4 linked regions of the Elephas maximus indicus genome follow. The main gene of each other region encodes a partner of the protein of the gene in region 2 in a complex. Links are inferred from orthologs where the notes say so. Each region holds a gene or a part of one and is shown on either strand. Other genes may lie near its edges.

Region 1 (7,190 bases), on a different chromosome or scaffold from region 2:
GACATGGATGAACCTTGAAAACATGCTGGGTGAAAGCCATTCACAAAAGGCCACATATTATATGATTCCATTGGTATGAAATATCTAGAATGGGCAAACCCATGGAGACAAAGTAGATCAATGATTGCATAGGGCTGGGGGAAGGGAGGATCAGGAGTGACTGCTAACCAATGCAGAGTTTCTTTTTGGGGTGATGAGAATGAAAGGGGCAATGGTTGCCCAATTGTGAATATACTAAAAAACACTGGACTGTACACTTCCAAATGGTGAATTTCATGCTATGTGGATTATATCAATTAAAAAAAAAAAAGGAAAAATATTTGTTGAATTATGGCCAGGATCTAAAGTGAGGGACTATGCATTGTGGTCAAAATACAACAACAACTCAAGTGAATACCCCAGAGTTTTGTAGAAGGTACAGGGCAGGCTGCTGAGAGCTGCTTTCTTGCCCTCAAGGAAACAGAGGCCAAGTCAAACAGCTAAAAGGTGGTACGGCCAGCACTAGTACCCACGTCTCTCTGCCTTGTGAGCCCTCTGCTTGTAGCTTCTAGCCCTGCTCTGTCCAACATGGAGGCACAAACCATTGTAGCTACTGAGCGCTGGAAACAAGGCTAGCCTGAATTAAGATGTGCTGTAAGTGTAAAATTTTGTAGACTAAGTACAATTAAAAAAAAAAAAATCTTAATTATTTCCTTATATTGATTACATGTTGAAATCACACTATTTTGGATATTGGGTTACATAAAATATGTCGTTAAAAAATAATTTCCCCAGGTTTGTACTTTCTAAAACATGACTACCACAAAATTTAAAATTATATATGTGGCTGGCATAATATTTCTGTGGGACAGTAGCGTGTACTCTGGAGTACTGGTCCCTGGGGACAGTACAGAAGGGGGTGACTGTAAGTTATTCATGGAATAAAATTTCACTTAGCAACCTTTGGTGGGCTAGCCTACAGCTGATCACAGGATGCTTTTTTTTTTTTTTATGTATTACTATAACATACCTAAACCAAACCCACTGCCATCGAGTCAATTCCAACTCATGTCAACCCTACAGGACAGAGTGGAACTGCCCCATAGGGTTTCCAAGGAGCAGCTGGTGGATTTGAACTGCCAACCTTCTGGTTAGCAGCTGAGCTCTTAACCACTGTGCCGCCAGGGCTCCATAACATAACATACCTAGGCAATCCTTTATTGTTGGATACTTACGTAGCTTTCTTTTTTCTTCTTTGAACATGTTGTCAGGGACAGCCTCATCAGTTAGGAATTGCACTCAGGTAAAAACCTGGTTACAGTGGCTTAAACACATAGGGTTATTCTCTTCTGTAAAGGAACTCCAGATGTGGGCAGCTCTATGAAGTCTCTACTTTTCTACTCCACCATCTTTAGCGCATGTCTTCCATCCTCAGGGTTATAAGATGGCTGCTAGAGTTCCAAATGTTATGACAGAATTTCCACGCAAGAAGCAGAAGTAACGCCAAATTGATTGTTTCAAATGTTACTAAATAGATTGGGTGCCATTTGTTAATAGCCAAACACAAAGTTTAGTAAAACCTTTCTAATTATTCGTTGGTTCTATTTAAAAAAACCATCTCTACAGGCGAGGCGGTTCTGACTCATAGCAACCCTATAGGACAGAGTAGAGCCACCCCCACAGGGTATCCAAGGAGTAGCTGGTGCATTCGAACTGCCGACCTGACCTTTTGGTTTGCAGCTGAGCTCTTAATCACTGTACCACAGGGCTCCAGTTCTGTCTTACCAAACCAAAAAAACAGACCCACTGCTGTTCAATGTCCAGCCTGGACATGGCGACCCCACTTGTCTTGCCAGTGGGTTCTAAAAAAAATCCACTTTGTGATAGACCAAATTTTACCCTCGACGTATAAGCAGTAAGTAGTATCTCGGCACCAACAACATGTAAACCACCAACAGTCAATCCCAATGGGAAAAAGAAGACATACCACTTCCATTGCTTATGGCAGCATTCAATAGGGTGTACAGAAGATAATCAAAAAGTGGGTTGAGTTGAATTGATGTCACTCCAGATGAAGGAAAATCTAATTTATGTCCAGAAAGGAATAATAATCAGTTGCCATTGAGTCAATTCCAACTCATGGTGCCCCTCGTATGTCAGAGTAGAACTGTTACACTTAGGATTTTCAATGGCAGATTTTTCAGAAGTAGACCGTAAAGCCTTTCTTCTGAGGCGCGTCTGGGTAGACTCAAAGCTCCAGCCTTTTGGTTAGCAGCCTATGGCAGTAACTGTTTGCACCAGCCCCTCGGGACTCCAGAAAAGGAATGAAGCAGGCACCATTCTGTTGCCCTATTTCTAGATGGCCTTCCATGATTTCCACTATGAAATAGGTGCTGTCTTGACCTCTACTCCCCACTAGGATGTGTGCTCCATGGACTAGTTGGGTTTGGTTACTGTGACGTTTTCCAAGAGTACTCCTTGGGTGCTGGTTTCGGGGCAAGGGTGTCACCTGCACCATTAGTCGTAGAGGGAGGGAAGAAGGGAAAGACTGGGTGGGTATCCCTTCTTTCTTCGGTGGAGAGGTCACTGAGATCCAGCAATGACGTCTAAATGTGAGTTACTAAACCAGCAAACCAAGGCAAGAAAAAAAGTGCGCCTCCTGTTTATTTTGGAAAGCTTTACTATGTAGCCAAAATCCAAGAAATAGCCCCCCCCAAAGGTGATTCATCAAATCCGAAATGCATTTTATGATTATGTCTCTGATCAGAGAATGGGCTTGGGTGGGGTCGGAGGAGGGTGGAAATTTGTGAGTAGAAACTTCGCCAAGGTCATTCTTGGCTCCCTAGTGCCTAGGAAGGTGCCTGCCATAGAGCTGGTGCTGCTTAAATATTTGGATGCGTTAGTATTCAAAATTAGGTGGATGCCAGGGTGAACTGTCCCGAGGAGAAGGCCTTTGGCGTTTGTCAGAGCCTTAAGGAGTCATAGGCCCCCACAAAAAGGTTAAAAACCACCTAATACACAGACAAGAAGTTTATTTAAAATCAGTGTCAAGAACTGGTTATTCTCATCATGGGTAAGAGCCAGCACTCGGTATCTGGAAAGATCTCCGTGCTTAAAAGCCCCAGTCGCCACCATTTTCTCCAGGTAATTTTCCATCCCTGCCCCCACAGCCAAAAAAAAAAAAGGGGGGGGGGGAGAAGTCATTCTTAAATTCTACCTAGCTATTAAAAAAAAAAAAAATTAAGCGGTAGATTAACGTCCTCCCCTCCCCGCGTCGCCGGAAACGAAGGCAGAAGAAAGGGGCCTCGCGCGACCGGCCGCCCCCAGCCCCCCGCCCCCCAAACTTTGCCAAGTTGCGGCGCCGGGCGCCGGGCGCGCGCGGAGGCGCGGGGCGCGGCCGGCGGGCGGAGCCCTGACGCCGGGGGCGCGGGCGCTGGGCCGCCCCCTCCCGGCCCGGGCCACCGCCGGCTCCGCACAAAGTTTGCGGCCGCCCCTGCGCCCGCCGATGTATGGGTGATCGACTGCGGCGGGCGGCAGGGTGAGGGACGGCCATATTTGCCGGTGCGCCCGCGCGTCCACAACAAAAAGTGCGCGGGAGCCCGGCGGGCGGACGGACGGGCGCACGGCCCCGCCGCGGAGCCGCCTCGCCGCCCCCGGCCCGCCGCCCCGGCGCGGCCCCCGTGGGGGGATGTCGTACAAGCCGAACTTGAACGCGCACATGCCCGCCGCCGCCCTCAACGCGGGTGAGTGAGCGCCCGGTCGCGCGCCGCGCCAAGTGCCGCCAAGTTGGGCCCCGCGCGCCCGGCCGGCCAGGGGCTCCCGGGGGCCTCGCGGCGTGGCCGGGGCGCCGGGCACCGGGTCCGGCCCGTGGCAGAGCCGCCGCCGCCGCCGCCATGATTCCGGCGCCGCGCGCCAAACTTCGCCGCGTGCCTCGTTCCCCCCGGGCCTGCTCGTGGCCGGGCCGGGGGTCGGGGCGCTGGCAGCCGCGGAGCCCCCACGCCGCGGCCGGGGGATCCGGGGACGGAGCGTGCGGGCCGGGAGGGAGGGAGGCTTTTCTTGCTCCTTTTTCCTCCGGCGGCTTTTGGGCGGCTCGGCGAGGGCCCCTGCCGGCGGGAGGCGGCAGCGCGCGGGCGCCGCGGGGCGCGGGCGCCTGGGGCGCGGGGCAGGCCCGTGGGGGGCGCCAGGCTGCGGGGCTTCACCCGGGCAATGCTGGGCCCAGGCGGGAACGCCGGGTTTGCCAGGCTGCGGCCGCCCCTGGGGGCGCGGGGCCGGGTAGACGGGCCCGGAGGCACTGGCCTGGCCGGGGACTTAAAGGGTAAAGGGGGTCCGGCCTGGCGCGCGGAAACGGGGGGCGCCCAGAACGGGACTTGCGGGAGACCACCTCTTGCGCGCGCAGAGTCAAAGTAGTTGGGGAAGACCCGCGGCTTCTGGGTGTCTTGGGCGGTGGGTGAGGGCGGCATTTCAGGGGCCCAGATCTCGGAGCCCCTAAGTCTGTCATGGAAGGCCCCCCTTCTGCAGAAATCGGGAGGTACGCATCTCCCCTCCCTGGAGGGCAGGGGGTCTCGGAAACTCTTCCAGAAGTTATCAGGCAACCTTCCTTAGGCTGTGCCCAGGGGGTGGGGTACCTGGGAGACCGAGGGCGCCGTCGGGGAGGGGAGGTAAAATTGTTGGGGTTGTGGGGTGATTGGCTTTGTCTCCTCACCAGGGACCTTTAGACACTTGATTGGAAGCATGCGTCCAAAAAAGCGGGGCGCCTTGGTTGGGGGAGAGGGCCAAGGGCCTTGCCCTGGGGTGGGGGGGGAGGGTTGGCTCTGCTCGCCAATATGCCAAGCTGGCAGCTTGCCCCGAGTTTCCGGCCTGGCCTCCAGACGTTGACTCCATAACTACAAAAATTCTAAAGGGACCTATAAGATTTAAAGAAAACAAAAAAACTTCTTGGACACTGAGGTTTTGGGGTTGGGAAAGGGTTAAGATTAAGGTTGCAGATTGGGGTGATCTGAATTGCTCAGATGTGGGCTGTGAGCCGCCGAGAGCAAACAGCCCCCGTTTTCTCACATGCCCTCACCTCCCGTGGGTCCGCAGGCCTTCCTGAGACAGGCTTTGTTGCCTAGGTAGGATGTCTTCTGCTTCCATCTCTCTGGGGGTGGGCAGGGCGGAGGGTGGTGCCAGCCTGGACAGGCGGGAATTCTCAGGCTGCCCTGGTGTAGTTGAGGCAGGGGCCCCACACTGGGGTCCTGAGGGATTGGGGTCACTGAGGGTAACAGGGACACCCACTGAGGACCCCTGCAGCCCTGTTCGGGACTAGCTGGCACCTGTAAACAGTCTTTCTTCTATCTCCTATGGTGCATTCCAAGAGGAGTGCTGTCCCCAAATCGCTGTTTTCTTTTGGGGGGCCTACATGCCCCCTGCGGACCCCTTTGCAAAAAGCCCTGTCTCCCCATTTGCATCCAAGATGGACTCTCCGCGCCCCTCCTCCCGGCTTCCCTGTCATCATCCCTCACGCCCTGCAGCCCAGCCTCCTGCTCGTGGGTGGGTTGCCAAGCCGTGGCCTGGCCGGCGGTGGCGGAGTTAGACAAAGCCCCCACGTCCCCGCTGGAGAGGCCCCCCCTCCCCGGGGCGCCCCGAGAGGCGGGAAGGCCGCCAGCTCCCCAGGCCCGGGCCGGCTCTTTGTCTGGCGTGGGGGCGGGGAGCTCCGGCCCCAGGAGCTTCCTGGCCTCCTGCTCCTGCACACTGGCTCATTGTCTGATGCTCCTCCGCGGAGGGAGACGCTGCGCTGACGTGGAGTCTGCTTCTCTTGGTGGCCTCCCTCCGCCGACCCAATGGCCCTCCCTGTGTCTGCGGGAAGGAGTGGCCAGGAGAGGAACTCGGGGGCCCTTTCTCCAACTCTTTCCAGGGCCAGAGACACCCCCTCCAGCACTGAAGAAGGGACTGACAGTGGCATAGGATGGGGGTCACACACTATGCTGCTGGGGTGACAGGACAGTCAAGCCCTGAGCTACTGCCTGACTGCCCCACTCCCACCAAAATGGGGCAGTTTCTCACTCCTACTCCCTTTCCCCTTGGCCCCCAAGACCTGACTCCAGTGCCATCAAACAGCAGGGTCTAGAGCCTTTAGTTGTTCTACTGGAAACCATTGCCTCAAATAGCTGGGGAAACTGAGGCCCAGAGAGGGAAGGATGTTGTCTAAGGTCACACAGCCAGGAGTGGCCCTTGCCCATAGGAGAGAAGACAGGGCAGGGGGAGAAAAGACAAGGAGGTGGGGTGGAGCAGAGGCCACAGGGAGGTTCCGGATCTCCTCCTGCCTGGAGCTAGTGTCTTCTAGAGGCCTTGAAGAGTTGGGCCACTCACTCTCCCCAGGTTAGCACTTAGCATCCATACCTTCCTGAGCCCAGGGAGGGACCATAACTTGTGTGGGGCAGGATTAGAACTCAGGTCTGGGTGCACAAAGCCTGTGTTTCCCAAGCCATACTCACCACCCCCTGCCTTCCAGTCCCCTGGAAGGCTCAGGAAGTTGGGGCTTAGCTGATGTGGTGGGGGGGGCGGGGCTGGAGGGGGCACTGGCCCTGTCCCAGGCTGGGCTCTGGCCACTGAACACCTGCCCTTGCCTTGGAGTGCTTCCCTGATGTGAGTAGCACTTACAGGTGTGTTGTCATCCCTACCTTGTAGACAGGGAAACTGAGGCTCCAAGCAGCCCAATAATTGGCCCTTGACCAGCTTGGGGGTGGCACAGTCGGGATTCAAATCACGTTTCTGGGTGGCCTCCCAAGCTTCAGCATAAACATGGGACTGAGTAGGGGCAGCTGGGCAGGCCTGGGACCTGAGAGGGTATCAAGTGCAGAGCTGCTCCAGACTCCTGGACAGGAAGGTGGGCATCAGTGGAGCTTCTGTGCTGCGTCACCGGGGCGGTCTCTGGCCCAGATCTGTGTCTCCCTCCCTCTACCGTGAGGGTCCCTGATCCAGGGTTCCCAGGGGCCCCTTCCCGCTCCCTGTGCCTGAGCTCCTGAAGTTACTTCCGCCCGGCCCCTCCCCTTGCCCATCCCAGTCGAGCAGCTGGTCGCTTTGGCCGGCCTTGGCACCAGCTGTCCATCCCGGGGCCAGGTCTGTGAGGCTGCTGTGTGTGTGAGAGGGACCGTTTGGCTCTAGGGGTGGCGGGAGGGGAGCTGCTCCCCATGGGGCGTGGAGTCAGGCAGGCGGGCGGCTGCTGAGGAAGA
Region 2 (7,518 bases):
TATACATGTGGACCTCACCAGGTGGAATACACAGGAATCAAATCACTACATCTGTGGAAAGAGACAATGAAGAAACTCAGTATCATCAGTCGGAACAAGGCCAGGGGCTGACTGTGGAACAGACCATCAGTTGCTCATATCAAGTTTAAGTTGAAACTGAAGAAAGTTAAAACAAGTCCACAAGAGCCAAAGTATGACTTTGACTTTGGGTACATCCCATCTGAATTTAGAGACCACCTCAAGAATAGATTTGACGCGTTGAACGCTAATAACTGAAGACCAGACGAGTTGTAGGATGGCATCAAGGACACCCTATAGGAAGAAAGCAAAAGGTCATTAAAAAGACAGGAAAGAAAGAAAGATCAAAATGGATATCAGAACAGACACTGAAACTTGCTCTTGAATGTAGAGCAGCTAAAGTGAATGGAAGAAATGATGAAGTAAAAGAGCTGGATGGAAGATTTCAAAGGGTGGCTTGAGAGGGCAAAGTAAAGTATTACGATGAAATGTGCAAAGACCTGGAGTTAGAAAACCAAAAGGGAAGAACATGCTTGGCATTTTTCAAGCTGAAAGAACTGAAGAAAAAATTCAAGCCTCGAGTTGCAATATTGAAGGGTTCTACAGGGAAATATTAAATGATGCAGGAAACATCAAAAGATGATGGAAGCATCAAAAGAATACACAGGTTTACTGTATCAAAAAGAATCGGTCAACGTTCAGCCATTTCAGGAGGTAGCATATGATCCAGAACCGATGGAATTAAAGGAAGAAGTCCAAGCTGCACTGAAGCACTGGAGAAAAACAGCTCCATGAACTGAGGGAATACCAATTGAGATGTTTCAACAAATGGATACAACGCTGGAAGCGCTCACTCATCTACGCGAAGAAATCTGGAAGACAGCTACCTGGCCAACTGACTGCAAGAGATCCATAGTTGTGTCCATTCCAAAGAAATGTGATCCAATGAATGTGGAAATTATTGAACAGTAGCATTAATACTGCACACAAGTAAAATTTTGCTGAAGATCATTCAAAAGCAGTTGCAGCACTACATCGACAGGAAGCTGCCAGAAATTCAAGCCAGATTCAGAAGAGGACGTGGAATGAAGGATATCATTGCTGATGTCAGACGGATTCTGGTCGAAAGCAGAGAATACCAGAAAGACGTTTACTTGTGTTTTATTGGCTATACAAAGGCATTTGACTGTGTGGATCATAACAAATTATGGATAACATTGGGAAGAATGGGAATTCCAGAACATTTAACTGTGCTCTTGAGGAACCTGTACTTAGACCAAGAGGCAGTCGTTCGAACAGAACAAGGGGACACTGGTTGGTTTAAAAATCAGGAAAGGTGTGTGTCAGGGTTGTATCCTTTCACCAGACCTATTCAATCTGTATGCTGAGCAGATAATCCGAGAAGCTGGACTATACGAAGAAAATGTGGCATCATTATTGGAGGAAAACTCATTAATAACCTGCGATGTGCAGATGACACAACCTTACTTGCTGAAAGTGAAGAGGACTTGAAGCACTTACTGATGAAGATCAAAGACTATATAGCCTTCAGTATGGATTACACTTCAACATATAGAAAACAAAAATCCTCACAACTGGACCAATAAGCAACATCATGATAAATGGAGGAAATATCGAAGTTGCCAAGGATTTAATTTTCCTTGGATCCACAATCAATGCCCATGGAAGCAGCAGTTAAGAAATTAAAGGATGTATTGCATTGGGTAAATCTGCTGCAGAAGACTTCTTTAAAATGTTAAAAAGCAAAGATGTCACTTTGAGGTCTAAGGTGGGCCTGACCCAGCCATGGTATTTTCAATCACTTCATATGCATGCAAAAGCTGGACGATAAATAAGGAAGATGGAAGAAGAATTGATGCCTTTGAATTACATCATTGGCAAAGAATATTGAATATACCATGGACTGCCAGAACAATGAACAAATCTACCTTGGAAGAAGTATAGCCAGAGTGCTGCTTAGAAGCAAGAATGGCGAGACTTTGTCTCATGTACTTTGGACATTTTATCCGGAGGGGCCAGTCCCTGGAGAAGAACATCATGCTTGGTAAAGTAGAGGGTCAGCGAAAAAGAGGAAGACCCTCAACGAGATGGATTGACACAGTGACTGCAACGATGGGCTCAAACATAGCAAGGATTGTGAGGATGGCACAAGACCAGGCAGTGTTTTGTTCTGTTGTATATAGTAGGGTCGCTATGAGTCGGAACCAACTCAATGGCACCTAACAATAGCAACACTTTGGGTCCAATGTGATTAAAATGCACAAGTAATAGTTTTACAATATTAAGAGCTCTCTTTTAAAAATGACTGGGTATTTCTAGTCAAAAATCTATTTGTTTAAAACCTGACCATCCCAGCTTTTGTTTCACTTTGTTTTTGGTCATTAAGTCCTGTTACCTAGCTGCAATCATCCACAAGAACCAGGATGGGGAGTGGATTGTGAGTGAGGAGCCTCGCCGCTCTAATCCATGGCCAAATTAAGTAGATGGCACTGCTGTTTCTTGAATGATACCATGGCTTTCTCAGCCTGGCCTTAGGAATTGGAGCCAAGTTAATGGGGGTGGATGGGTGGCTCTCTAGTGACTGGTAATTATTGTAAGGCAGAATTTCTCTAAAATGGGACAGGGTACCTTTGGGAGTGTCTGACCTCATGGGGTCCATGCCTCGGACAGGTGTTAGGGGATGGCTGAGGGCTGGACAGTGTTTGCTGGTGCTTAGTTTTTTCCCAGCTGGTTAACTTTCAGGAAGACAGGCAGGTCGGAAAGAGCAAAGACGCGAAAAGGAGTGCTTTGGGGCTCCCCTGGCTGGCTGCTCAGTGACATGCAGGATTACCTTAGACTGGGAGCAGCCCCTTGGTTTTGAGCTGGCTTCCCCGCTGGCTTCCCTTCCCCCTTGCAGCTGGCCACACTGGGCTGATTCAACATCTCCATCTACAGTGTGGTTTAAAAATGATCCGGGGGATGCAGGGGACTCTGGGCACCCTGTCCTTGAGGCCTGGGAATGAACGAAGAGAATCTCCCCAGACTATTGCCTTGGGCCGGCACTTGAAGTCCCCGTAGCTTGGGTTGTGGCTGCTGCCCCAAGAGGTCTTGCTCTGGGGGCTCTCAGCTGATGGGGCACCACTCTAATGATTTTCCAGAGGCACGGAGACACTGGGGGCAGGTGAATGCTGGCCCCATGAGGCAGGTGCTCAATCAAAACAGGAGGGGCAGTGCTAGAGAGGTAACCTCTTTTCCCTGGGTGTTGTTGATTTCCCAGGTCAGGCAGATGCGGGTGCCTGGCAGCAGGTGGGACGCCCAGAGTGTCTGGCCATGTCTGGTCAAGGGAGTGAGGGTGCCGGCCCTTCATTGGCCCTTCTGGCGATTCTGCCCGCCACGAAACTTTTGTGTTCCTAAAGCAGCTTCCAGACCCAGCTCCTTGCTGCCACCCAGACTAAAGACGATCATTTAATATTCCTGTCTTGCTCCCGAGGGCTTTGGCCTCTAGCTCCACCTTTACTAACCTAGCGCGGATGCAACGGCGCCTTCCCGCTCCGCGACAGGTGTCGCTTCTGAGCGGAAGTTTTGGGCACAGAGGACGCAGAACTGCACTACCCGAGGGGTTTGGATGTGTTTCACCTGGACCCAGACAGAGGGGGACGATTTGGAGGCGGCACGTGGGCGGTGGGGCGGGGTGCTGTGGGGTGAGGGAGGAGCCGGCCTGCACGGATTTTTCTGGAGGATTCAGGTCTACTGCCTCCAGAACTTCCCTTCCCCAATGAGGGACACGTTTTTCTTCTAATCTTCTCTCAAAAGGGGGTCAGAAGCGTGCCGAGGCCGAGCGGGGTGCGGGGCTGCCAGGGTCCAGGTCCATGTGAGTGGCGTAGGGAAACTCCCTGCACGATGCCCTGAAAACCCCGCCTCCGCGCCACTGGGGACCTGGGGCCGAGAGCCTCCTCTGGCGGGGGTGGCGGCGGCTGGCCCTGTCCGGGTGCAATGGACAGTGTCCCCGCCTCCCCTCGGGCCTGGGCTCGCCTTGGTCACAGCTGCCCGCTCGGCCGTCGGGTCCTTCGGCGCGCGGGCGCCTCGACGGCTCCCCCTGCCGGAGCGCCCTGTCCCCACCCTCCACCCGGCGGCTCAGGACTAGTCCCCTCAACTTGGTCTCTGCTGTTAACTAGTCGCGCTGCCGGAACGATGGGATGGGGTTGCCACAGCAACCAGACTGGACGTCACAATCCGGGCATGTGTGCCGCCCCCCCGCCGTGCCGCCGTGCCGCCGGCGCTGCCGCCGCCACCCCTCGGCAGGCTGCTGCGGGACTGGGCTGCGGAGCGCGGTGGGCGGAGCAGCCCGGGTTTTGCGGGGAGCACGGTTCAGGCGGCCGCGAGGAAGGGGGGTCGGGACGGGGGGGTGGAGGTCTGGGGGGGTGGGGGGCAGGCGGCCGCCATCTTCTCGCCGAGGCCGCCTCGCCCGCCGCGCGCGCCCGTCCGGTAGCGCACGGGTTAAGGCTGGCACGGCGCCCGGCGGGAGGGGGGGCGCCCACCTCCCCTCCCCCCCGCGCCGGGCATGCGGGGCCCGCTGGGCACCGAGGAGGAGCTGCCGCGGATGTTCGCGGCGGAGATGGAGAACGAGGACGAGATGTCAGGTGAGCGGCGCCGGCTGCGCCTGGGGCGCCAGGGCGGGGGGCGCAGGGACGGGCCTTGGCCGGACCGCGCAGGCAACCGGCCCGGGCTTCGCCGCGCGGGAGGGGCCCGGGCTGCGGGCTGCGCTCCCGCCCTGCCGGCGCCGCGCGGCCAAGGGCGCGGGGTTGGGCGAGCGGGGCGCGGCGCGCGGGCTCAGGGCGGGTGCGACCCGGGCACTGGGCGGGGGCGGCGGGCGGGCGGGCCGGGGGCTCGGGCGGGGGCCTGCCAGGGACGCGTTCGGCTGGGAGGGGCCCGGTGCGCCAGGGTCAGCCCGGTGCCCTTGAAGGGGGCGGGCAGCGCGCTCCGCTCCTGGAGCCCGCCCCCCGTGCTCATGTCCCGGTGCCCCGCGCCTCGGGGCCCCAGGGCGTGCTGGGTGGGGCCGGAGCACGGCGGGCACAGGCCGTGCTTGGGGACCCGTCGAGCGCCCGGGCTGAGCGGCTTCCCTTTGGGCCCACGAGGGCTCCAGGCAGGGGCGCGCGGCCTCAGGGTCCCGCTCCTCTTCCCCAGCCGCTGTGGGTGCCGCTCCCCGAGCACTTTGCCCGGGTTGCCGGCGCCCTCCTGGCGCGCCGTAGAGCCAGCCGCTGTCTGCAACCCCAGGGCGCCCAGGGTAGTGGCGTTCACAGCCCACCGCGCTTTGGCCACAGGCCTGACGGGCACGCCAGGGGCACCGCCCCTGCCCTGCAGTCTCTCAGAATTCACCCTAATTATATCTTACTAAAGTCAGGGGCTTACCTGCAGGATGTCTTTAGTTAACTGCTTGCGGCTTGTTTGAGACATTTGCCTCCTGGCACATCTGGGCTGCGCCTTACCCTTCAGCCACCTTCCATGCCTGCCCTCTTTGGGGGGCTGCATTACTTCCCAGCGTCTCAGCACGAAGTCTAGGTCCCTCATTGACTTCGAGAAACCCAAGGGTCTTGCCCTGGCCCGGAAATGTGCTGGCCAGGAGCATCTTCCCCAGGGGAAAGAATGCTCCATCAATTAAAAAAAAAAAACAAAAACGTTGCTGCGGAGTCACTTCTGACTCATAGGGACCCTATAGGACAGAGTAGAACTGACCCACAGAGTTTCCAAGGATCTCCTGGTGGACTCGAACTGCCAGCCTCCTGGTTAGCAGACTTAGCTCTTAACCACCATGCCACCAGGGTTTCCAAAAATGGACACCCCAATTCCTGAAGACAGAGCAGTGACACCCCAGGCTGCCCAACATCTGCCCAGTGAGGGGCTTCTTGCCCTGGCCATAACCCCTGAGGCCCCTTCCCCCCCCACACTTTGGCACCCCACTTGTGCTTGGTGGTTTGCTCAGTGGCTTTAAAGGTGGGACCGGGGCTCCTATGGCAACCTGGCCTAACTCTATCCTTCAGACATTTAGGCCAGGTTTGTGAAGAGTCTGTTGGGTTGAGGGGAGTAGGAGTACGATGGCTCCCGAGGGTTGCTTGGACAATAGTTGACTATTGCATCCTGGGTTGATGGAATCACGCCCATTGCCTGGAGAGGCACATGGAGGCCCCAGCCCAGGCAAGGATACTGAGGCCGTTGTCCACCCCAAGGCTGGCTTTTTGGGAGCAGTAAGTAGCTCATGGTGGTGTTTGTTGCACGGCCACTTTGTGGTGCTGGTGGGGCAACGGACAGCTGAACATGTCTTTACAGGTTACATGTGTTACCGTTTCTGGAGCTTCACTGACACCTCCCCACGGAGTCCCCTGCCTGCTTTCGCGTCACCTCCTGTGGCTGTCAGGGTCCATATTCCTGATTGTCAGGGTGCAGAGTTTGAGAAGGGAAGGAGTCCAAGGAAGGTGCCCCAAACTGTGGGCTTCCAGCTCACGGCTTGGGCCCAAGTCTGCCACCATCATCCAGCCTCTTCCTCCTTCCTGTGCCCTTGGGTGCCAGACCTGGGCAGGATGAGTGGGGGGCATCCCCAGAGCCTCCAGGAATGCCCCCGAAGCTCTGTGGAGGAGCAGTCCTGCTCTGACACCTCAGACCTGGGAGTTCCAGCCCAACCCAACAGCAAGACTAGATGTGCCGCCTTCTGAATATGCCCTGAGTCTTCTCACTTTCCCAGCTTCTCTCCACCTTCTTGGTCCAGGCCACTCTCTGGCTGTAAAAATGGCATGGCGGAGGTGTCTGACCTCCTCTAACTTCACAAGAGGGGAGGAGAATCAAGATCAGTAGCCCAAGGCTGATTGCTATGAGGCAAAGGTCAGACATACCTTCTCTGCAGCCTTTTTACCAATTCTGACACCAGCCATCCCTCCCCTAGCACCCTCTGCTGGGTTTGATAATTTGTTGCAATGGCCACACAGAACTCACAATACTCACTATTTTGGTGTTTATTTGGGAAATAACAGGTTATAATTCAGGTTCAGGAATGCGTAGGATACAGTTCTTTGATCAGGATAGCCTCTGCTCAGGTGTGCCACAGGGAGGCCTCTCTCTGACCCTGGGCCACTTGGGCCCTTGGGTCTCTTGGGCCAACCTGGCCTCTGCCCTGCTCAGGCAAGTATTACAAAGCTCTCTTAGCTCTGCTGATAAGTGCCTGGAGGTATCCTACTCTGCCAGTAAGCCTCGTGCCCGAAGGCTCTCAGCTCTCTCACCCTGTGGGTTGGCACACCCACTATAACTGCCTTGCGCTGTGGGCCAGGAAGCCCACTGTGCTGTCTTTTGCCAGTCTCCTGCTTCTGCTGCTGCTGTTTTTCTGCCGTTGCTTCTCACTGTCTCTTGCTGTCTCCGGTGTTACTGTTCTCTGTTTCTGTCTCCTGTGTCTAGGCGGTTTTCAGTGCAGGGATTGTGGTTCCAAAAGATGTGTTCCATGCCTAGCTCTTCTTT
Region 3 (6,371 bases), on a different chromosome or scaffold from region 2:
GGAAATGCGAATTATCAGCAGGCATTCAAACCACAATGAACCAACTTGATGTTGACCTTGATCACCTGGTTGAGGGAGTGGTGGTCAAGTTCCTCCAAGGTAAAGTTATTGTCTTAGTTCTCTAGTGCTGCTATAACAGAAATAACACAAGTGGATGGCTTTAACAAATGGAAATTTATTCTCTCACAGTCTAGTAGCCTAGAAGCTCAAATTCAGGGTGACAGCTCCAGGGTGAAGCTTTTTCTCTCTGTTGGCTCTGTGGAAAGGTCCTTGTTTTAAATCTTCCCCTGGTCTAGGCGTTTCTCAGAGTGCAGGGACCCCAGGTCCAAAGGACATGCTCCCCTCCTCGTTCTTCATTCTTGGTGGCATGAGGTTCCCTCCTCTCTGTGCTCTCTTCTCTCTTGTATATCTCCAAAGAGATCAACTACAACCTAATTTTACAGATTGAGTCCTGACTCATTAACATAACTGCCTCTAATCCTGCCTCATTAGCATCAAACAGGTAGGATTTACAACACACAGGAAAAGCAGATCAGATGACAAAATGGCAGACAATCACACAGTACTGGGAATCATGGCCTGGCCAAGGTGACACACATTTTTGGCCGGCACAATTCGATCCGTAACAGTTAAGTTTTTTCTCTCCCTTTCCATTCTGTACTCTTTGGAAGAAGGTCACTATGCACAGCTCACATGTAAGGAGGGAGAAGTTATTCTCTGTCTTAGTCTGGGTTCTCTAGAAGAGCAAAACCAGTGAGGCAGACATAGATATATATAGAGAGAAACTGACTTCAAGAAAATGGGTCACACAACTGTGCGGGTTGGCAAGTCCCAAATCAGCGGGTCAGGTGGCAGGCTGAAGGCTTCTCGAACCAGAGACCTGGAGGTCAAGCGACCAGATGAGAAGAGTACAGGATCAAAAAACACCAAGCTTTGCCAGAACATCCATTTACATACTGGAGGCAGGTCCCACTCCCAAGAAAACTGCCTTTTCAACTGATTGGCTACTCACATCGGATCACAAAATGTAAGATGATTAAAGAAAAAAAACCCAAACCTGTTGCCATCAATTCCGGCTCATAGCGACCCTGTAGGACGGAGTAGAACTGCCCCATAGTTTCCAAGGAGCCCCTGGTGGATTTGAACTGCTGACCTTTTGGTTAGCAGCTATAGCACTTAACCACTACGCCACCGGGGTTTCCCATGATTACATAGTGTTTGCCAAACCACTGAGAATCATAGCCTAGCCAACTGGACACATAGCATTAGCTATCACACGCTCCTGGAGAGCAGCATCTCTACGTAAATTATTTCGAATTATTTCTACAGGTGATTTCTCTATTCTCTCCCATTTGTTTATTTATATCACTATGGACTCACGGGTGTTTATTTTATACTTTGGGTTATAAGGAAATATTAAGTAGATGGAAAGACCCTTGAAGAAGTTTCATGCACAGATGACGTTACGGAAACACCGTATGCAGGTATCTCTGCTTCCTTATACGCTTGCCACCCAGGTTCTTCTCTTGCCCCTACTGTTATCTCGGCTGCCCTTGCCTGCTTTCCAATGAACCCTCCAGGGAAAAACTGACCTGCTGTTCCCCTATTACCTGTGCTTTCACAGTGCCACACCTTCGCGTGTACCAGTCCCTCCACCTGGGAAAAAGGGGTAGTAATGGAGGAGGGTCAGTGTGAGTCAGAATCGACTCAACAGCAACAGGTTTTGTTTAATGGAGGAGGAGGTCTGAGATCTAGGGTCATGAGAAATGAGATTTGATGGGTACGGGAATGAAAAGGCTTTGAGGTACTGGAGTGAGACAGGGACAAGAGAAATGAAACAAATAAGCACTTCACATACATCCATTTAATCCACACAACATAACCCTATGAGATAGTTATTTTACAGACGGGGAAACTGAGCCATACTAAGATGAGATGGGTGGTGTTGAGATTTGAACCCAGGCAGTCTGACTCCAGGCTGTGCTCTTGTCTGTGATCCTTTAGTACAGGCATCACGTGCACCAAGTATTCAACCAAGGTCAGCTGTTACTGCTGTTGTCGTTATCTGTAGCAGAGGTGTGGGGTGTCTTGGGTGCAGGTTGAGAGGTCTGTGAGGTTGCCCTGGGATCCAACACCAGCCTTGAACCTGTTGTTGTTGTTAGGTGCTGTCAAGTCAGTTCCGACTCATACCCGAGCCAAACCAAACCCATTGCTGTCGAGTCGATTCCGACTCACAGCGACCCCATAGAACAGAGTAGAACTGTCCCACAGAGTTTCCAAGAACCGCCTCGTGGATTCGAACTGCTGACCTAATCAGCAGACATAGCTCTTAACCACTACCCACAGACTCATAGCAACCCTAAATAAAACAGAAGAAAACACTGCCTGGTCCTGTGCCATCCTCACAATCGCTGGTATGCTTGAGCCCACTGCTGCAGCCACTGTGTCAATCCATCTTGTTGTCTTCCTCTTTTTCACTGACCTTCTACCTTACCAAGCATGATGTCCTTCTCCAGGGACGGATCCCTCCTGATAACACGTCCAAAGTATGTGAGACATAGCCTCACCATTCTTGCTTCCAAGGAGCATTCTGGCTGTACCTCTTCTAAGACAGGTTTGTTCGTTCTTTTGGCAATGCGTGGTATACTCATTGTTCTTCGCCAACACCACAATTCAAAGGCGTCAATTCTTCGGTCTTCCTTACTCATTGTCCAGCTTTGACATCCATATGAGACGACTGAAAATACTATGGCTTGAGTCAGGCGCACCTTAGTCTACAAGGTGACATCTTTGCTTTTAAACACTTTAAAGAGGTCCTTTGCAGCAGATTTGCCCAATGCAGTCCCTCTTTTGATTTCTTGACTGCTGCTTCCATGGGTGTTGATTGCGGATCCAAGTAAAATGAAATCCTTGGGAACCCCAATCTTTTCTCCATTCTTCATGATGCTGCTTATTGGCCCAGTTGTGAGGATTTTCCCTTTCTTTACGTCGAGATGAAATCCATACTGAAGGCTGTGGTCTTTGATCTTCATCAGTAAGCACTTCCAGTCCTCTTCACTTTCAGCAAGGCTGTGTCATCTGCATAACGCAGGTTGTTAATGAGTCTCCCTCCAATCCTTGAACTGAGGACCTGCCAATCCAGAGAAAAAGGCTTGGGTGGTGGCGTCGGAAGCTGGACCCGTTGCCATGGGAACGAACGAAGGCTTTAGGCAGCCGCATGCGCAAATCGGAGAGAGGTTATTGAACCGGGAAAAGGTGACGTAAAAGCGCACAGGGTGGGGCGCAGGGCTCGGAACGTCAAAGCCCTGAGTCCTTCGGCGTCCGGAGAGGGGGACAGGCGCGCTTGGCGGCGGCGACCGCGGCGACAGCAGACCCAGCCGAACCGAGACTGGGCCGAGGTCCGGGCGGCCCGAAGCTGACGCGCGAAGCAGCGCTAGTAAGGCGCAAGTAAGGCGCCGAGAAGACCCCTCTGCGCGATCCGCGGCGGCCCAAACCCAGATCCAGGTTCCGAGGCCCCGCCCCGGGAACCCTGGGACTAATCGGATTGAGAGCGCGCCGGCCCGGGCCGCGAACTCGCCAATTGTGGAGGGCCTCTGCCGCCACCCAATCCGGAACAGACAGGTGCGAGGTCCGGAAGACAGAGGCCAATCAACAGCGGTTGCGGCCTGCTGGGGCGGGTCTCGGCCAGTGAGGAGGTTTGAATGACATTTCGGCCTGCCAATCGGGAGTGAGAGAGCCTTCGAGCCCGCCCGCCCTTCCGGCCAGCGCTCTATTTACCAGGGGCGTGCAGCCCGCTTGCCAATCAGCGCGCAGCTGAGCGGCCAGCAGCCAACCCCGGAGCAGCGGCCGGCCGGCGTCCGCCCGCACCCGAGAGTCGGGGATGTCCTACAAGCCCATCGCCCCCGCCCCCAGCAGCACCCCCGGCTCCAGTACCCCTGGGCCCGGCACCCCGGTCCCTACAGGTGAGGACCCAGCTCCACCCCTGCTCGCCTCCCCGGGCGCTCGAGGTCTCCAAGAGAAGACGGCCTGAGTTCTGCAATACCGGGCCTGCCGCCTACCCTCCTGGAGCCTCAGTTTCCTGGCCTGCGAAGTGGGCGTGGTGACGTAAGGGCTTGTAGGTGGGGCGCAGGGGGTGGGGTTTGTCCCTGAAGTTGACCAGCCTGGAATGAAGCATCCTTTTGGAGGGAATCGGAAACACTCGGCCCGGGGCTTGGAACGTTGGGAGGAGGCGTCCCTGCCCCGTGCTGACCTCTTCCTCGCGCCCGTTGCAGCCGGAAGCGTCCCGTCGCCGTCGGGCTCGGTGCCGGGAGCCGCTGCCCCTTTCAGGCCACTGTTCAACGACTTTGGACCTCCCTCCATGGGCTATGTGCAGGTGAGTGGGACGGCCAGCTTGCTTAGGGATGAGGGCTGGTAGCCCACCCGGGGCCTGAGCTCACTGCCCTGTTCTCTTTGGCTTAGGCAATGAAGCCACCGGGCGCCCAGGGCTCCCAGAGTACCTACACAGACCTGCTGTCGGTCATTGAGGAGATGGGCAAAGAGATCCGGCCCACCTATGCTGGAAGCAAGAGTGCCATGGAGCGCCTGAAGAGAGGTAAGCAAGCTCAGGCGCACCCTGCCCTGACGCCGAACAACCTCTTAGGGAAGGAAGGCCATCTGGAGGCCACCTGAGTGGAGCCTAGACCTCGAGCCAGTGTCACTATCCAGAGAGGGGTTTTGAATTAAATTTAAATCGAGACCATTTCCAGGGAGGGGACTGGGTGTTGGCATTTTAACAAGGAAAATTTGGGGTTTAGCCAAGCCTCCCATCTCATCCAGTCTCTTACTGAAAGGAGGCGCCCTGGTGGCACAGTGGTTAAGACCTTGGCTGCTAACCAAAGGTTTGCCTCTTTGAATCCACCAGCTGCTCCTTGGAAACCTAATGGGGCAGTTCTACTCTGTCCTATAGGGTTGCTATGAGTCGGAATCAACTCCACGGCAACAGGTTTGGTTTTGTTTTGTTTTTTTTAACTGAGAGGAAGGAGCCCTGGTTGCACAATGGCTAACTATTCTGCTAATAACCAAAAGGCTGGTGGTCCGAACCCACTAAGTTTTTCTGTGGAAGAAAGATCTAGTGATCTGTTTCCATAAAGATCACAACCTAGAACATTTCTTTGAGGCAGTTCTACTGTGTCACATGGGGTCACTATGTGTCAGAATTGACTGGAGGGCGCTCAACAACAATAACTACAGACGGGAAGAGGGTGGAGGGGCAGGATCTTCCTCTGGAGGTTGGGGTGGGCTCTGGAGGGTTGCTGAGACCCCGTATGTTACTCCCCCACCCCTCCCCACCCCAGGCATCATCCATGCACGGGCCCTAGTCAGAGAGTGCCTGGCTGAGACAGAGCGAAACGCCCGCACGTAACAGGAAGCGCCTGCACCTCAGCGTCCGGACCCTTCCAGCCACTGCAGAGCACCAGCTTCTCCCTGGCCTTCACCCCGAGTTGCACTCCCCATCCTGGGCCTCCTGTCCTGTGTCCCTTGGTGGGTGCCCTCCAGGAACCAGGGGCAAATCCCACTCCGATCAGCAGCACTAACTGAGGCCCCGTGCAATAGTTAGCAGCAGGGTCACTATGAGACCCACCCATGACCTACCAATAGTGTTGATCCAGCTGGAACGTTCTCCTTTCTGGGGCCTCCACCACTCAGCACTTATCCAGCACTGCTGACCACTTTGTGTCCCATCCCCTTGTCCCCCAGCAGGTCTCGGAAGGCCTGTCACCTCCCTGCCTTGTTTCCTGGGCCATAGCAACTCTTTTCTCAGTGTGTCTTTTGCTAAATATGCCCTTTTTGTATAAAATAAAGATGATTTGAAGTTGTTCTCTCAGCTTTGAGCCTTTCTGGGTCTGGTTCCTCTGCCAAGCCTGGGTGGGCCAGACAAGGAGGGGAAGGGATGGGGCGGGGAGGTGGAGTGAGATGGGGCAGAGACCGACTGAACCTGGCCTGGCCTTGCTTCTGCTGCCCATTGTCCCTTGGATGGGCCCCAGCTCAGGCTCTTGGCCTTCCAGTTGTAGGTGGTGGAAGGGGTTGCAGGAGTTGAGAGCCCTGCACCCCTTCGTGTGGTGCCACGAGGGGGCAGCACAGGGCCTTGGCTGCCCGTACAGCTAGCGGGCACTGCTGCTAGCCTGGGCCTACAGGGCTCTTCTTTGGATTACAAGTAGTGCCTGGCCGGGTGGCCGGTTCACTTCTGCCATTCCCTCATATGCCTTAATGCCCTAACAACATCCTCCACTCTGAATCTGCCCTGGGAGGCTCTGAGTACACCCCAGCCCCGACTCCTTAGAGGAGAGGGGCACTCTCCACTGCCCAGCACTGTTTTCCTGGCAAACAGGGTC
Region 4 (7,097 bases), on a different chromosome or scaffold from region 2:
TAAGTCTAAGCCCCAGTGATTCTGGTCTAGGTCATTTCCTTTATTCACTGTCACCAATGAGGACCTTGTGTTGCTTAACATAAGTAGCTAGCACAACATCGTACGTTGGTCTTTTTGAATCCAGACAGACACCCCACGAAGGTTAAATATTAACACATTTATAAGTATAAAACAATTACTTCAGTTTACCTAATAAAAATATAATACCAAATGAAAACAAAGTACAAGCTCAAACAAGTACAGTATGTTTTCTATTATAATAATTTTCCTTTAACTCCCTCACACAATTAAACAATATTTTAAGAAAATTACCTAGAATTCTATCACACTAAGATAATTCTTTTCATTTGTCTGCATTACTCTTCTACCATTTAGTCAAATATTTTTTCCTAAAATGTGTGGGGTGTTGTTCTTTTTTTTTTTCCTGTTTACAGGAGTAATGTTGTCTACTGGAGAAATTTTTAAAATAGAGCAATATATGAAAAATAAAATAACCATTATCCATATTACCGGTACCAGGAGACGATGGCTATTAATATTTTAGCGTATTTTCTTTAGCTCCTGATGATTTGGATGAAAACAATATGACCAGAAACAAAATTGGTATTTGTTACATTCCTCTTTTGCACGTTAAATTTTCAGATTTTTTTGTAATGAGATTTGCTTTTGTAATAAGAAAAACAAGCAATAAAGGAATGTATAAGAAAGCGGGATCTCTGTATGTCTTGTTCATCCATGTGCCCCAGTTCCCAGCACACTGCTTGTGTTGGGAAAAATATTTGTGAATGGCTAAGATTTTCACAAAAAACTAGTGAGACGGGGTTGCTAATGAGAAATAATGGGTATTATTTCTCTCGCTCCCTCTCTTTTTCCTTTTAGCAAACAGTTCATTCTAGAACATACAATCAGTTCTCAATAAGCTTGTTGTCTTTATTTAAGACTGACTGGATTCCAATTTCAACTCCAACACTCAGTAGCTATGTGACCTTGGCCAGAAATTTCAGACTCTCAGACTCCCCCATCAGCTTCCTCAGCTGCACAGCGCTGGTTCAGGTGCTGGGGATTTAACAAAACAAAGGCCACACCCTCACATTTACATTCTAGGGTAGGGGAGATAGCCTAGAACAAACCTCTGTCAGGTGGTGATAACTGCTATGAAAAAAATAAAATAGAGGAATGGGGCTACAGAGTGAGCATGGGTGGGGCCAGGTGGGGAGTGTTGCTATTTTATAAAAGGTGGTCAGAGAAAGCTAAAGATTTCAAAAATATACCTAGTGTTTTTGTGCACTTCAAGTTGAGACTGATTACGATCATGAAATCAATTGAGGGTGATCTGCATATTTAAAAAAAAAAGAAAATATAAAACCCCAGAGCAAATCACAGTTTGGTGTATAACTTGTTTCAGTTTATGTACACGTGTAGTTCTCCGTGGAACACCGTTGGGGCGGCCTGGAGAAAGTGGTAGTTAACACTTAGCAATTTTGAGGCAAGGGCTCTCTGAAGTAAGACCCTCCTCACCTTGTGTGTGCACCTGCTTCTGTTTTAATTAACAGCTCTAGCTGAGTACCAAAGAGACAAAAACACTACCACAGTAACAGCGGGAGAAAAGATCAGGATCAGGGCAAAGTGGCTGGGGAGAAAGGCAAAACAAAAATGAACAGTCCAGCAATTCAAAAGAGAAAATTGGTATCACATTTTTTGTGCTAAAAGTACCTGATGGGAAAAATATTAAAAAGAGAGAGAGAGAAATGAATTGACACATCCAATTTAACAACACAAACAAAAAACCCCCCAGCAAAATCCAAAGCTAACAACTATGTCGTGCATACTTCCCGATTAAACTTACGACTACTGCCTGCGCTGACTTGACGGCAACTAACAACAACTGGGTGAATATTTTCAGAAACTTCTAACTTATTGGTTCCATAGTCCCTTCTCTGACCCTCGGTGAGGTAGGCAGTATAAAGATTTTAAAGCCCTATCATCTGGGAAGATTTCTTGTCTTTCAACCCTGTAAACATTTAATTAAAAAAAAAAGGTTTGGGAAATCATGCCTACCCATTAGAAATGAGTAAGTTATTTTAATGGGAGACTGGAAATCTCTGCCAAGCCTTTTCTTGCTGTACAGACGAGAAGGTTCGCATTGAGGCAGTAATACCCAATTATTCCAGAGCAAAGTCAGCGAGCCAAAGCTAACCCGCCGCCTGTTTTTGTATGGCCAGGAACTATGAATATTTTTAAGCGATTGGGGAACAACAAAACGAAAGAAGAATATTTTGTGACGTGAAAACTTTATAAAATTCAAATGTCAGTGTCTATAAAGTTTTATTGGAATAGCCAGGTTCATTCGCATTGTTTATGGCTGCTTTAGTGCAACAACAACGGCAGAGCTGAGTAAACCAAAAAACAAAAAACCAAACTCACTGCCATGGAGTGGATTCGGACTCAGAGCGAGTCTATAGGACGGGGTAGAACTGCCCTATAGGATTTCCAAGGAGTGCTTGGTGGATTCGAACTGCCGACCTTCTGGTTAGCAGCCGAACTGTTAACCACTATGGCAACAGGGTTTACAAACCAAAATACCAAACGCCTTGCGGTCGAGTCGATGGCGACTCATATATAAATGCCTGCAATGCCTAAAATGTTTACTATCGGGCCCTTTGGAGACAAAGTTCGCCGGATCTGGGTTCTAGAATGTGAGGGCTGTACTGCTTAAAGTACCTTCCAATCCTCTTCCCTCTCCAGCCATCACCTCAGGCAAGAAAAGATTCCTGTGCCTGACGCGGACAGAGGGCGATTTATTAATGAATTGTATAGTCAACCCAAAACACCGGACAGTAAATTTCTATATAAGGTAACAGGAGTGGCTCTGCCACCGACTTGAGTGATTTCTGGGTTTCTTCTACGATCACAAAATTGAGCATCACCCCAGCACTTGCACTGTCTCATGCGAGCGTCGCCGCGGTCACCCGCGTGAAGGCATTTGGAAAGTTGTCAAGGCAACCAGTGCTCCGAAGATACTCTTGAAGGGGGACTGCAGTTCTCTTTGCCTGTCAGTCCCTCAGCCGCCTCCCCCACCCGGCCCCTCGACTTCGGCTTCGGGCCCTGATTTTCGCCTCTAGCTTCCCCTTTCGGCTTTCCAGCCCGCGTTCTCATCCCCACACAGTCCTCGGACTACCAAATTCCCGCGTCGGGATTCAGGGGAGCTGGGCCAGCTCATTCCAGCTCTCCCGGTTCCAGCCGGTTGAGGTGAGGTCGCCCCGGGACCCCTGCAGGCAAGAAAAGTGGCTCGGCAGGGTGCGGGGCTGGGCCCGAGGCCCCTGCAGTGCAAGGAGGCCGCACTTAAAGACTTAAACGTGCAAACAAACGAACACTTTATTCCAGTCGGCCTTGGCTCCTTTGGCACCGTTTCGGCTGCCTGTGTCATCGCAGGCCGCACGTTCAGCCTAACAGGGCGGCCTGGCGGCCCTGCAGTCAGAAAACGCCCGGGGCCTCTCCCAAAGGCCCCTTCGACGCCCACAAAGCCCACCGCAGCCCGCCTGGGTCCGCCGCCGGCTCCAGGAAAGGCCAGGCCCTGCTGAAGGGGAGCCTTTCGGGGTGCACAGAATTGCAAGGGGATGACTACTGGGGAGGTTTTTGAGAGTGCACTAATTTCTCGAGAACAGAAAACACTCCCTAAGACTACGACCCTGAGTCTCTGAATTCCTCTTTCCCTCGGGCCTTGGCTTCGCTAAGGTCCTCAAGCTCCCTGCCCCCCTCTCCCGCCTCCCGCCTCCCCGCCCCCCCCAGCCGCCGCTTCAAACAACCACGCCCCGCGGCCCCAGGGCTCGCTGCCCCAAGGCTCACAGCCCCCGCGCAGCCCGGCACGCCGCGCCTCCATTCGCCCTGCCCCCTCGCCCCCATCCGCCCCCGCGGCCGGCCCTGGGAGTGCCGGGCGAGGCCTGGCGCCTGCGCCTCGCCAACTTCCTGCCGCGGAGCGCCCCGCCCACCCCCAGAAGCCTGCCCCCGAACGCCGCGCGAGACCCGCCCGCCTCACGCCATTGGTCGAGACGGAGGAGCCGTTGGCTCCCAGGACCGCCTCTCCGCCGCCTCTCACTTTTCCCAGAGCGGGTGCGCCTGCGCTCAGCTGCCTGGGCGGGCTGAGAGGCGCGGGTTGAAAAGTCTCGTTCCAAGTTTGGAGAGAGAGAGAAGAGCGCCTCAGACCTCGGTACCTGCGAGCGTGAGGAGGCAGGAAAGAAGAACGCGGCGTCTGGGGAGGACCCAGGCGGCAGGCCGGAGCTCAGGCTTCGAGAGCTCGAAGTGCGTGACGCGCCTGGGAAAGGCAGGAGCGTCTGCGGTCGAGCTGCACTTGGCTAGTGAGGGGAGTCCGAGGCGGCGGCGAGGGGCGAACGACCCGACGCAAGATGGCGAGTAAAGAGAGTAAGAGGCCCTGCGGGGCGGCGCGCGCCGGGCTGCGGGGGGCGGCGGGCGAGCCAGGCCGCGGCACGCGCCGGTGAAAGGCGCGAATCGGCGTGCGGAGCGGGGGCGGGGCCGGCGCGAGGTGGGGCGCGCGCCTCGAGGGGCCTGCGCGGGACGGGCCGCAGCGCTGAGGGCGCCGAGCACTTCCGGAGCCGGGCGCGGGGCCCAGGGGTGGGCCCCCGGCCGAGGCGCTCCCTCCGGCGTCCTCGGCGCGGGAACGGCGGCTCGCTCCACGCGCGCGCGGCGGCCGCCTCGGGTCGCGGCCCTGGTCGGCGGGCTTCGGGAGCGGGCGGGCCTATGGCTGTCCACGCGGGCGTCGTGGGAGCGGGGCCTAGCGGGGCGGGGGCCGGAGGGCAGGGGCTGATGGTTGTCCGTTCCGTGTGCATTTGTCTGTCCGAGCGGATCGGGATCCGGGTCGTCCTTTTTACACAGGTGCGAGCAGCTGTAAGAGACCGAACAATCTCTAAGGTCAGCGGCAGTTTGATGGCCGTGTAATTACCGAGATCTGTGGACGCAGGAGATACTGATCTCACAGTGCGAAAAATAAGCTGCTTGGTGTTAATATTTTCCCCACGTTCCGGAGGAGCAGTTTGTTGTTCGTGTCCAAATTCGAGAGAGGGGGGAAAGAGTAGGTTAGGTGTGGCCATCTCGGGGCGACCTCCAGTCGCTGGGTGCAGATTCTGAGTGTCGTCTCTCAGCTTAATCCTGTGGGCTTTCTCCAAATTGCAGTGTTCGAAGATACTGTGGAGGAGCGTGTCATCAATGAAGAATATAAAATCTGGAAGAAGAATACACCGTTTCTGTATGACCTGGTTATGACCCATGCTCTTCAGTGGCCGAGTCTTACGGTTCAGTGGCTTCCTGAAGTGACTAAGTAAGGGTTTCTGGCAACTTTTATTCTGCATAAATTTAACTGTCCTCATGAATTTCCTAGTTTTGGCGTTTTACACACAGAACATAAGAGGTAATGAATTGGCCCTTGAATGAGGTGATAGGTTGTGTTTTCAAAATTGAAGTGATTTATGGGATAATTTCTGATGTATAAATGTGCCATTGAAAAGGGAGAAAGAATCTGTTGACATTAATAATGTTTATAGGAAACACAAGGCATTTGACATTTCTTGGGTTTATATAGAGAGCAGTATCTGGGCCTCAGACTAGTGCATTTCTGTAAAATTTTATTGAAAAATGGCATATGTACAGAAAAAGCACACAGATTGGAAGCATATGGCTTGATAAATTTTTACAAAGTGAACACACCATGTAACCGGCACTCAAGACAAATACCTTTTAATTGGCAAAGGAAAAAAGAATTTGGCAACAGTCCACCAAAGAAAGGGTGTTGTTACTGGCTTATAGTGTGAAATACACTTTGAGATTGCTATTAGTCTTCATAAGAGTGGTCGTTTCAGCTAGTTCTTATATTTGTCTGAGTAATAATTGCTGATAGGGAGCCCTGGTGAGCAGTGGTTAAAGCACTCAGCTGCTAACCGGAAGGTCGACGGTTCAAGCCCACCAGCCTTTCCTAGGGAGAAAGACGTGGTAATCTGCTTCTGTAAAGATTATAGCGTTAGAAACCCTTTGGTGCAGTTCTCCACTGTCCTACAGGGTTGCTATGAGTCGGAATCCACTCGACGGCAAGTGGTATCGGTAATAATTGCTGACACTTACTGAGCACCTAGAACAGGGCCTGTCGCATCTGAAGAGTTTTATGTCCTATTATTTGGTGTAATCCTCACAGCAATACTATGATATAGGCACTTTTTATCGTCTCCGTTTGCTGATCAGAAAACTGAGGCTGAGCGCTTAAGTGATACGTCCGAGATCATGCAGCTGGTAAGTGCCGGAGTAGATGTAAAAACTCAGAAGACTGGCTGGCTCCAGAGTTCAGGCAGCCCCTGCGCTAGACACCCTCACTCAACCCCATTTCTGTCAGGAACGTGGCTATGTACATATTTTTAAAATTGTATTGGCTTTGGATATTGTGAGCATATAATTCAGTGAACATCTAATCAAATTCTAACCTAGAAAGAAGATTTTTGAAAGGTTATGATTTTATCTAAAATTAATTTACTTCTATAAGAACTACATTTCCCATATGCAAACATTGAGCTCCACACAGGTAGGGGCATCCATCGGTGCTCCTGAAAATCTGAGTGTAAATGTACAGATAAGGGAAGAGTAGCCACGAACCAAATAATAGAGACTTCTAAACGTTGGCAGTTGTAGCTGCCTTTGAACAGATTTTTAAAATAGAGTGACCATCATATACTTTAAAGATACGCAGGTGCTGGATTGGAGCATCCTGTGAATTTGACTCTCTCTATCTTCCTGTTAAGCAAATTTAAAACTTTTCAGCAACTTACTTCCTCTTGAATTTCTTGACTTACTCTAACATAATAGGAGAAAACAGGGGCTTTAAGGCCAGAGATCTGGGTTCAAATCCTGCCCCTGCTTCCAGGTAGCCTTGTGGCCTGGGCCAAGTTGTTAGTTTGTAATCCCTACCTGCCCAAGGTGTCTGTGAGTGGAGATGCCAATAGTGCCGACTGCCTGCACTGGAGGTAAAGCCTCTGGCACAAACTAGGTGGTAACTGTTAAATGTTACCTGTAATGTGTTTTGCTTATATTTTTTTTTAGCA

What was found.
Region 1: CHD5 (region 2) and CDK2AP1 share a complex: the UniProt entries of both Homo sapiens proteins name them as parts of the nucleosome remodeling and deacetylase (NuRD) repressor complex. The link is inferred for Elephas maximus indicus from reciprocal best matches to the Homo sapiens genes CHD5 and CDK2AP1.
Region 3: CHD5 (region 2) and CDK2AP2 share a complex: the UniProt entries of both Homo sapiens proteins name them as parts of the nucleosome remodeling and deacetylase (NuRD) repressor complex. The link is inferred for Elephas maximus indicus from reciprocal best matches to the Homo sapiens genes CHD5 and CDK2AP2.
Region 4: CHD5 (region 2) and RBBP7 share a complex: the UniProt entries of both Homo sapiens proteins name them as parts of the nucleosome remodeling and deacetylase (NuRD) repressor complex. The link is inferred for Elephas maximus indicus from reciprocal best matches to the Homo sapiens genes CHD5 and RBBP7.

Annotation. Positions count from the first base shown.
Region 1 is NC_064840.1:6,984,437-6,991,626, forward strand, and holds the start of CDK2AP1 (cyclin-dependent kinase 2-associated protein 1), read left to right. Parts: upstream 1-4,168; 5' UTR 4,169-4,185; coding exon 4,186-4,294; intron 4,295-7,190. UniProt on the Homo sapiens protein: Inhibitor of cyclin-dependent kinase CDK2. Also acts as a component of the histone deacetylase NuRD complex which participates in the remodeling of chromatin.
Region 2 is NC_064821.1:45,356,216-45,363,733, reverse strand, and holds the start of CHD5 (chromodomain-helicase-DNA-binding protein 5), read left to right. Parts: upstream 1-4,495; 5' UTR 4,496-4,579; coding exon 4,580-4,658; intron 4,659-7,518. UniProt on the Homo sapiens protein: ATP-dependent chromatin-remodeling factor that binds DNA through histones and regulates gene transcription. May specifically recognize and bind trimethylated 'Lys-27' (H3K27me3) and non-methylated 'Lys-4' of histone H3.
Region 3 is NC_064825.1:130,539,542-130,545,912, reverse strand, and holds CDK2AP2 (cyclin-dependent kinase 2-associated protein 2), read left to right. Parts: upstream 1-4,129; 5' UTR 4,130-4,165; coding exon 4,166-4,372; intron 4,373-4,458; coding exon 4,459-4,591; intron 4,592-4,900; coding exon of another isoform or gene 4,901-4,956; exon of another isoform or gene 4,957-4,981; intron 4,982-5,333; coding exon 5,334-5,401; 3' UTR 5,402-5,863; downstream 5,864-6,371. UniProt on the Homo sapiens protein: Acts as a component of the histone deacetylase NuRD complex which participates in the remodeling of chromatin.
Region 4 is NC_064846.1:162,733,777-162,740,873, forward strand, and holds the start of RBBP7 (histone-binding protein RBBP7), read left to right. Parts: upstream 1-4,094; 5' UTR 4,095-4,403; coding exon 4,404-4,419; intron 4,420-5,187; coding exon 5,188-5,332; intron 5,333-7,097. UniProt on the Homo sapiens protein: Core histone-binding subunit that may target chromatin remodeling factors, histone acetyltransferases and histone deacetylases to their histone substrates in a manner that is regulated by nucleosomal DNA.